Saccharomyces cerevisiae S288C: one gene and its partners. Changing the gene in region 3 together with the main gene of any one other region gives a genetic interaction. Each region holds a gene or a part of one and is shown on either strand. Other genes may lie near its edges. The genes, in order: UGA3, EBS1 and NOP19.

The links.
Region 1: mutations in NOP19 (region 3) and UGA3 together harm fitness more than expected from each alone (negative genetic interaction), as found in Saccharomyces cerevisiae (one large-scale study listed by BioGRID).
Region 2: mutations in NOP19 (region 3) and EBS1 together harm fitness less than expected from each alone (positive genetic interaction), as found in Saccharomyces cerevisiae (one large-scale study listed by BioGRID).

The regions. Positions count from the first base shown.
Region 1 is NC_001136.10:154,318-158,079, forward strand, and holds UGA3 (Uga3p), read left to right. Parts: upstream 1-2,000; coding exon 2,001-3,587; downstream 3,588-3,762. Other genes in the region: GLT1 (glutamate synthase (NADH)), read right to left, coding at 1-1,323; UGX2 (Ugx2p), read right to left, coding at 3,747-3,762. UniProt on the Saccharomyces cerevisiae protein: GABA-dependent positive regulation of genes required for catabolism of GABA (UGA4, UGA1, and UGA2).
Region 2 is NC_001136.10:860,332-864,093, reverse strand, and holds the start of EBS1 (Ebs1p), read right to left. Parts: upstream 2,041-3,762; coding exon 1-2,040. Other genes in the region: metal cation transporter MSC2, read right to left, coding at 2,574-3,762. UniProt on the Saccharomyces cerevisiae protein: Plays a role in nonsense-mediated mRNA decay (NMD). Recruits UPF1 to cytoplasmic mRNA decay bodies (P-bodies). Negative regulator of gene expression. Inhibits translation most likely through effects on eIF-4E (CDC33). Involved in telomere maintenance.
Region 3 is NC_001139.9:993,948-996,767, reverse strand, and holds NOP19 (Nop19p), read right to left. Parts: upstream 1,130-2,820; coding exon 539-1,129; downstream 1-538.

The DNA of each region.
Region 1 (3,762 bases), on a different chromosome or scaffold from region 3:
TTTTTGAACAACCAATGAATTTTCGATAGGAATGACACCTACCTCTGAAGCACAGATAACTCTGTCATCACTAGTGATGTAATAACGACAAGGTCTTAAACCATTTCTATCCAATATAGCACCACAGTAACGTCCATCAGTGAAAGTTAACAAAGCTGGACCATCCCAAGGTTCCATCAGACATGCAGCCCAGTCGTACCATGCTTTTAGGTCAGAATCCATATCCTTATGATACGCTTCAGGAACCATCATCATAACAGCTTCAGGTAGAGATAATGTGCCATTAATAGTCAATAGTTCTAAAACGTTATCCAATGCAGCTGAATCAGAACCACCTTCTTCGATAATTGGGTATAGTTTGTCTAACTCATCTTTGAAAGTTGCTGAATTCATCACACCTTCTCTGGAGCGCATCCAATTCTTGTTACCTCTTAAGGTGTTAATTTCACCATTATGAGCTAGCCAACGTAAAGGTTGAGCTCTATCCCAAGAGGGGAAAGTATTAGTGGAAAATCTTGAATGGACCAACGCCATGTGGGATTTGAAATGCGCATTAGTCAAGTCGGGATAGTAGTTATACACTTGAGCTGGCGTCAATTGACCCTTGTAAACAATGGTGGTATTGTTTAGGGAACAAACATAGAACCAGTTTTCCAGTCCTATTTGAAGAGAGGCCTCCTTCCTTAAAAGATACAATTGAGTTCTAAATTTAGTTTCATTAAACTCCGGTTGTTTTTCATCATACAATGGAACCAATAATGGCTGTAGAATAGTAGGTTCACGAGATAATGCAACGTCTCCTAAAATAGTAGAATCTACGGGGACGTTTCTCCAACCTAATACGGATAAGTTGAAGGATGCAGCTAAATCCTCGAAAATCTTCTGACACTTAATTAAATTTTTCTTGTTATTTTTTTCGTTCTTCTTGAAGAAGACGTTACCTACGGCGTATTTGCCCATCTCAGGTATGTCTAGATCAAGATCTAACTTGAATTCTCTTTTCATAAATTCGTGAGGAATACCTAGCAGAATACCGGCACCGTCACCGTTCCCATCAGATGAGACGGCACCACGATGTGTCATATTCACTAAAAGATATCTAGCGTCAGTAACAATCTTGTGAGACTGTTCACCATGCTTATTTGCTACGAAACCGACACCACAAGCGTCATGTTCATAATCAGGGTCGTAAAGTCCTCGTTTGTCCGGAATCACATTTGCCCAAGATTTATGAAGATGGTGTTCATCGTTATAGTTTTGAATTGTCCCACCTTCGTAAGCTTCTTCCAATGGATCGAAATTGTCTGATTTCAACACTGGCATGCTTTCTTTTCTAATTCTTTTTCTAGTTCTTCAAAATAAATAAATGGCAAATAGATTAAGAAAAAAGAGAGAGTAGAAAGACAAAAATAAATAAAAAAAAACTGAAGCAGAAAAATAAATAAATAAGTTAAACGTTAATCACTACCTCAATGAGCTAAAAGAAGGGGAAGAAAGAGCAACTGAGAGTATCCGTCTGCGTAGTATAGGACTGAGATAGCAATTTCCTATCTTCCTATGATGTGGAGACGATTAGTTTGGTGTGTTATCAAGTAAGATATAAGAATTGATTAATTTGGTAAGAAATGAAACAATAGGACGAAAAATACAATAAGATAAGGAAGACCATCAGAACTTATGAATGACTAAGAAAAGCAGTTTATATTTTTTTTTTGGGCAATTTATTGCTTCTTTTTTTTACGTTTTGCGGGCATCACGTTCGTCGTGACATATGACTTGAAAAATGTGCAAAAGCTTATCGGAGCCAATCGGATTGACGCATTAAAACCGAAGTGTATTAGGACCAAATTTGCGCTGTATAGGGTTGAACGGTAGGGCTACCAGGGTCTGAGTCATCAAAGAAAAAGAAATTACAATAAGAGTCTTACTTAAGATGATATAGAATTGTTGTTATTGTTCATGTATGGATGCCAAGAAAACAAAGTTTTTTAAAGTGAGGTATGAATTATGGCGTGGAGAAGCTGAAATTGAAATATTCGAAGCATGGGTGTATTACTTGCAAGATCAGAAAGAAGAGATGCTCTGAAGATAAACCTGTGTGCCGGGACTGTCGTCGATTAAGTTTTCCCTGTATCTATATATCAGAATCTGTTGATAAGCAGTCTTTGAAAAAAATAAAGGCAGATATACAGCACCAGTTGATCAGCAAGAAAAGAAAGCATGCTCCTGACAGTGCTCAGAAAGCGGCCGTGGCCACCCGTACTCGACGGGTCGGTAGCGACGAACAGGATAACCAGGTATATTTGTCAAAACCGCTGGAAGATTGCATTTCTCAGAAGCTGGACTCTATGGGATTGCAGCTGTACAACTACTACAGGTCTCACCTTGCAAACATAATTTCCATCGCGCCCATGAACCAGAACTACTATCTGAACATTTTCTTGCCAATGGCCCACGAGAATGATGGTATATTGTTTGCTATTCTTGCTTGGTCAGCTAATCATTTGTCTATATCATCATCAAATGAGCTGCGAAAGGATGAAATATTTGTCAACTTGGCGAACAAGTATACATACATGTCGTTATCGCATCTAAAGACAAACGAGGGCTCAAGTGCCTGTGCTAAACTGGGGTTTCTATATTCACTAGCACAAATCCTAATCTTATGTGGTTCAGAGATATGTCAGGGTGATGTGAAATTTTGGAAGATATTATTGAATATAGGAAAAAATTTGATCGAAAACCATGTGGGCAAGGATGTCTCACGGATACTAACCACTACTACAGAAGAACCCTCCCTAGAGGAGAGGATAATCTTCCCCAATTTCAATTCCGTTGTTAAGTACTGGCTGATTGTGAATTTTATATATCATGATATTTTGAATTTCAATACAACGTCCTTCCCGATCGAACAATACGAGAAATTCTTCCAAAGGGATCAGAACTCTTTACCCAGCTCAGCCAACTTTATTGAGTCAATAGACTCGCCAATTGAGGAAATAGACCCTTTAATTGGCATCAACAAGCCTATTTTACTACTATTGGGACAAGTCACAAATTTGACGAGGTTTTTGCAGACTATGGAACAGGAAGAAATGCTAGAGCATGGCGATAAAATTTTGAGTTTGCAAGTCGAGATTTATAAATTACAACCTTCGCTTATGGCGCTGGAACATTTGGATGATGAAAAGAAATTTTACTATTTAGAACTATTCGAGATAATGAAAATTTCTACCTTAATGTTCTTTCAATTAACTTTATTAAAGATTGACAAAGATTCGCTGGAACTACAGATACTGAGAAACAAATTGGACTCGAAGCTAGACAAGGTCATCGGAACTTTTTTGGAAGGATCGTTATGCTTCCCACTTTTCATTTACGGTGTATGCATTCAGGTAGAAGATATGGAGAAAAAAATAGATTTGGAAGCCAAATTTGACGACATTTTAAAACGATATAAATGTTACAATTTCCAAAATGCTAGATTATTGATACGGAAAATTTGGCAAAACGAGGCTGATGGCATCAGTGAGCATGACCTGGTCCACATGATTGACGAATTAGATTACAATATTAATTTTGCCTGAGCAGCATATATTTTCTTTCCCCGCCCCCTGGGTGTCTTAAATTATTGTTTCACCACACAAACATATATATGTTCTTTTTTTTTTTTGTAGGACGTACGGATTCAAAAACAATTTATACCTATACAATGTAGAAATGCTAACGTTGAGACATAGAAGTAATTATTTAATTAACCAT
Region 2 (3,762 bases), on a different chromosome or scaffold from region 3:
TAGTTCGATTTTTAACAGTTCTACATTTACTTTGTTCCCCGTTATTGTACCGCTGGGCTTAACATTGAACGTATCTGGGGCCATAGGTACAGACGAACCACTATAACCCATAGTTGGAGAAAAAGAATCCAAAGAGCTACTTCTCATTTGTCTCTCCAAATCCGCCATGGATATTGAGCCATTAGTGGTCGAAGGTTTGTTTTTTCTTTGTAACTTGGCCTTTTCATTGGATTGCTTCGATGTCTTCATACTATTTTTAACGGTCTCCTTAAATCCAATTTTCTTATTAAAGATATAACGTGATTTATTATCTGACCATTCTACTCCGCAGTTGTTGTTCTGCAATAATTGCGAACTTATATTCACAACAGCCTGCAACCTTAACAGCATTTCAGATGATGCCGATAACTTGTCGCATAATGGCGGATTACCAATTAATCTATCGAGACTATGATCCATTTCAAGAATTTTTTCATAATCGTCAAAATCAGATAGTTGAAAGTTAACGAATGATAAACCCTTCACCATTAAGTCTTCTTCGAACCAGTATGTCCTTTTAGGAATATGTTCTGTTATACTAAAAGAAGGACTTGGTTTTTTTTTCACAATATCATTTATCAAGTATGCCAAGGCATTAACAAACTCTAGATTACTTTGTGAATATTGAAGAACCATGGGATTTGCTTTTATCCAACAATTGATAATTCTTACCATACCTAGAATTTCTGAAACCTCAGGATTTTCGCTCCATGATTCCTTAACGATATCATTTAAAATGTGAGCAATATACTTGAATGCAAAATTTAGGTAATCCAATTCATTGCTACGTAAATCCTTCAAGGTTTTTGCACTTACATCGGAACGCCTTTTTAATAATAGATGGAACCCACCAATTGTAATGATCAAATTGTGAAAGATGGTCTTAATATTATTCAGGTATCTTGCTGACATCGTCTCGTAGAGTGCATTTTCCAAATGCCTTAACTTGATACCGTTATTTAATTGGTTAGGTTTTGTATCATCTCTCCAACTGGTAGGTGACCAAACAGACCCAAAAAGGCCCAGGAAATAAAATTCTAGTATCTCTTTAGCAGGTGTCCTGGGTCCTTTAGATTCTTGTAAGTAAGTGTTCATGATAGTAGTATGCAAGCTACGATTTAATGAACTTTTATTGTCCACCATTAATGCCCCAAAATTTTTGATTGAAACAGGGCTTGGCATCTTCGTCATCATACCTTTAACAAAATTGAATACTGCAATCCCCAAATTTCCTGTTTGAAGGAATATCGCTCCTGCTTGCGAATACGTCTCACCAGCACTTGGTAACACCAACGAAGCTAAACGAAAGAAGTCCAGAGATTTTTTAAAATTGGATATGCTGTATTTATTGGAAATTTCTTCGAGGAGAGTTTTATAACGATACGCTGTTCCTAAGAATAAGAGACAGCGATGGAAAAGCGTTGGGATGAGATGTGCGAGTGGGCTACTACTATTAAATGTCTTCACCGCAAGAATGTCTCCAACATTAGTGGTATTTTCGATGTCACTTAACTTTAAGTCTTGGATAATCCTTTTCGGCAAAAGTACAGATATATCATATTTCTTATAAACCGTGTTGATAACGTTGACATAGAAGTTTTGCACCGTTTTGAAGAATTTTAACATCTTCGAATTCATCTTTCTAAAGTCGATAAATTTGGTCTGCTGTTTTTTATTCTCCTTCTCAAAAAGAATATAATTCCTCCACATCTGAAACCATTTGAATATTGGATAGTGAACGCTTTCCCAAGAAAAATCTAAAATCGAAGAGATACTGCTCTGATCAAAAGAATCAAGATCAGCCGCAAAGGATTTCCCACATTGTGATTCTATAGATGTAAGGATTGCGGCATTCAATTTGGAATGAACAAATGCCAAGAACCCATTTAATAGCGCATAATCTTGAAATAATTGATTCGATTTTAATATGCTGTTTAATTGACTTTTTATACCATTAAAAGCGGTAGGAAGATCTTCTTTTTGGGTATTCGATGGTTCCATTTAATTGAAATATCAACTGTAAGCCAGTGCAATGAAACTGAGATATTTTCTTTGAATATATACGCCTGATGACGTACGTTTTAAATTGCAAATGATGCGGATTTTTGAGTTCCTAAAAGCCTTCTTTTTGATATATTAAGTGACTTTGTTAAATTCTTGTTTATAATCTTAGTTCGATGATGTATTTAATTGAATGATCTCTTTACATATATGATTCCTGAAGACACTTTTCATAGGAAAAAAACATTCAAAATATATGGAAAGAAGAAACACCAAATGTAGAGGATTCCCCCTTAATTTCCGAATTATGATACCGATTGGATGCTAATTGCTTTATCAACCTCTTCGGTAATTTGAGGTCAATGCTGGATGACATCTTTTCCTTCGTTAGAAGTATTTTTTTTCTTCCATTGTGATATTTCCCGTAAGACGTGATCAACACAAGCAGCCGCCAATAATTACGATAGGTACCGTTATGTATATGAAATCTTGTTTAAAAAATTAATATAAAAGGTATGCAGGACAAAGAATTGTCAATTTGCTATAGGCTGTAGCGGTAAAGAATTCGGGTTAGCTGAAATTGTGTTCATAGAAGTAGCCCGGCACCAACAAGTGGAATTTTGAGGCTCAACTTGTACCCACGCTTTAATCGACACATTTTCGAATATTTTTTCAACTCTTTTCTTGATAATTGTCGAATTCTCGCCGTCTACATACTGTACATGAATATAGCCCACCAAGCTCGGGTGTTCTTGTGAACCGTTTTTCTGATCATGATGATGCTCATGGCTATGATTCTCTGCATGAGAATGCGTGTGTGCATGTGAATGCCCGGAACTGCCTGACTCTGTCGGCCAAAATCTAGGAGTTGTATAACCTGTGATTCCTGGCGTCGTTGAAATCTGGTTTAGCGCACTCTTTACTAGATTATGCTTCTTGTCATCCAGTCTTAGTAAAATATTTGCGGAAGTAGATTTTAGCAGGGGCAGAGCGCTAAGTAAAATCAAGGAACCAATTAATAAAGAGGCGATCGGATCAAAAATTGGCCAGTGTGTTAACTTGATTAATAACGTCGAAATAACAACGCCAACAGAACCTAATGTATCTGCCAATATATGTAAAAAAATCCCCTTCATGTTTTCATTATCAGTACCACCATGATCATGTGCACCATGGTCGAAGGCAAACAAACCTACAAGGTTCACTAATAAGCCTAACGTAGCAACAACCAACAACTCATTTGTTGCATGAAGATGAATGGGGTTGAAAATTCTCTCAATTGCCTCCACAAAGATACCGCACACTATGCCGAGTAACAGAACACCATTGGTGAAACCTGCCAAGGTACCAAGATAATTTAGACCGAAAGGGAATTTATCACTTGCTGGTTTCTTGGTCAATACACCAGCAATTAGACCTAAGAGCAAAGATGTGCAATCTAAGGCCATATGCAACGAATCAGATAATAAGCCCAATGATTTGGAACGAAAGGAATATAAAAGTTGTACAAACATGAAAGCGGTATTCAACAATAAAAACGAAAAAATGGACCTGGTGTCCTTATTCAATGCCATTTGTTTGAACATACTTTCATTTTCGAGAGGCAATGAATCGGTTAGATGGGAATGGTGATGTGCATGATTATGGGAGTGCGAATCAGGTTGTTTGTTAGAGAAACTGGAAACATATTCTGCCACTACGACGAAAAGTAAACTTAACAAA
Region 3 (2,820 bases):
ACGCAGTATAATTGTTTAGGTTTGAAAAATCCATAAACGTATATAATGATACATATAGCTTCAAAAAACTGAAAGTAGAGAGAGTTGTAAGAATATATGAATATCCAACTATAAAAAATCTTGCGTAAGAATTTCAATAGTCGATATATTGTTTAGGTCCAAACACTTAAATATGCCTGTTTAACACGCGTTTGTAAAGTTCTAATTAATTCTTTTCCATACAGCGCACTACATGTCTTATTTTTTTTGTCTTTGCTCTCGAGTATTGAAAAGGATTGCGAAAAAAGCAAATAGTGGCTGGTCAAAAATTCTAGTGGAGCATTAAGCCTACTGAGGAAGGATCTGCATTGCTACATCTCATTTAATGTTATTCTAGCAACGTTAACGTACTCAGTACTTGCAGTATGCAATAATTGCCTTGGCTAGAATTCTCTTCTGTACGTATTCATTTGTTGACAAGCAAACATCATTACGCCCTACATAAAACAACAGACGAGGGAAGAAAGACGCATTTTTTGCTGCCCATAAGTGTTTAAGATTATTTACGTGCCTTCTTTTTTTTATCAAAAAGTAAACCAAATTTTTTTTTTGTGGACTTTTGCGGCATTGTCCCTGCATCTTCATCCTCTTCATCACTGGCACTATATGAGTTCGAAACGCTGCTTTTGCTATGCTCTTGTTTCTTCCTTAGTCCTTCCTTCTCGCCTTTCCTCATTTTTCTTTTAAGCGCAATCATGGCTTTCGTATCATCTTTAGTGATCCTGTACATATTATTTCGTTGCAACCCTGGGTCACTTCTTTTCTTTTTCTTTGCCAACGAACTTACCTTTTTATCACCCTCAATAAACTCACCAATCGTATGTATATCTTCTTTGGCGGAAGCGTCATCTTGTGTGCGGAAGTGTAGGCCCGATCCAATCTGCAAAACGGGAAGCTTGAAAAATGCCTTCTTACCATCCTCCAACTCCTTGTGATCTTTTAACTGTTTGTTACGCTCTGTATCATTGCTAATGCCGGTTTCATCTGATTCTTTCAGCCAGTCCAAAACTGCAGCAGTATTGTTACTGAAAGTAGACTGGAGTTTCGCTTGCAAGTTGAGCTTCTCTTGTAATTCTTTGGCCCTACTCATTCTGAACACTACCGAGGAAAGATAATACGGTATACTGTATCAACTGTAGATGTGAGAAGAGGATTTGTTTCAACATCTTATAAATCTTGAAATCTTTTTTATGCGTTAGTTTTTCCAATCTCATCGCTAGAAATTGCCCGCGTCGCAGGTCAATTACAGGCCGTCAAGAAGAAACAGCGGCCACTACGGTTACTTCCAATGCCTTTAAAGCAGGATCAAACATGCAATCATTATTGTCTTACTAAAAGGTTGATACATACATACTGTAACTAAAGCTGACGTTAGGAAATAAATATCTAAAACAAATGACAGCTATCGAACAGGCCAATTTAAGACGATTTTAGGTAAAAAAAATCCGGACCAAAGTGGCACGGCTTCTTTGTGTAAATGCCTTCCACTATTTTATTCAAGAGGTTGTAGGAAATGCCTCTCTTCAGATCTTCCAAACAATAACATTACATAACTGAACAGTGAAGGAGCATTCTGGTTTACTGTAAAAGTCTCCTCCTTGTCCCTCCTTGTTTTCCAATTAAGAAACTTTGTAGCGTCTAATTCATTGTAGTCCTGGTTCCTTGGCTTCGATCTTCTTTCAAAATACCAAAGCTTTTTTGAAAGGCAGTGTCTTAAAGATACTACGAATGTGGCTGCGTATCATATATGTATATGTATATATACAATTATATTCTATGTTTGAAAAGGTCGTTTTTCGTTCAGAACACTCGTATATCTTCGGCGGTTAGAAAAGATAGTGAAACTAAAGGAGGAGACTATAGAGACACTGCATTGTATTGAATAAACAAACAAGGCGACGACTCACTATTACAAAGTATTTTCATGGATGCAGCCCTAAATAAACCGTTGTATCTTATATCATTACGCTCAATAATCGTTAATGAAGAAGAAGGGCGGCTATTTTCGTAAATTACACTACAAACTTCAATTACATACGCAATTCTTGTCACATGCCAATGAGCACTATATCATATGCTACAAGCTCACATACACAAGGGTTATGTTTCCTTAGCGGCATATTTTTGAAAGTCAAAAAATGTGTACAACAGAGAGAAAGAGGAGGGCCGCAACAGCTTGAAGACAACAGATGAGAGCCAAGTTCGTATGTGGATTACGTCCGAAGGAATTGAACTTCCCAAGAGTAATGTGTACGGGACTGATCGAAATTCTCTCTTTTTCCTTAGAGCGTCTTTCTGCAGATCGCCACTACTATTCCTAGCGGAAGAAACAAAAGAACGAAAAAAAAAACACTAGCCTATGCAAAGGGGAATATAATCATATGGGAATACAAGGATTGTAGTACTTGCATATTGTTCCGGCCCAACCCATTTCAAGATCCAACTACTTCATGGTAGGAAGCACAGTTTTTACATTCCCGAGAAGCAGCGCCCGCTTATTGCCCCGATAGAAGCAAAAACACCGCAACTCGTGGTTACGGGGTAAGAAACCGAAAATTATTTAATCATCTACGGGGCTACGCTTTTACATAATCTCTAGAGTATTCTAGAGAATTGAGATGATTTATGTCTTTTCCCGGCTAACATGCAAGTAGAATGCGGATAAGCCTCATGGAGCGTGGTTGATTAATCGACACTCTCGGTATTCTCTTGTGTACGTACGATGTTTCTCCCGCTGATCCGATTACTAGCCGAAGACGTAAAATTGGCGCTTGATTCAAT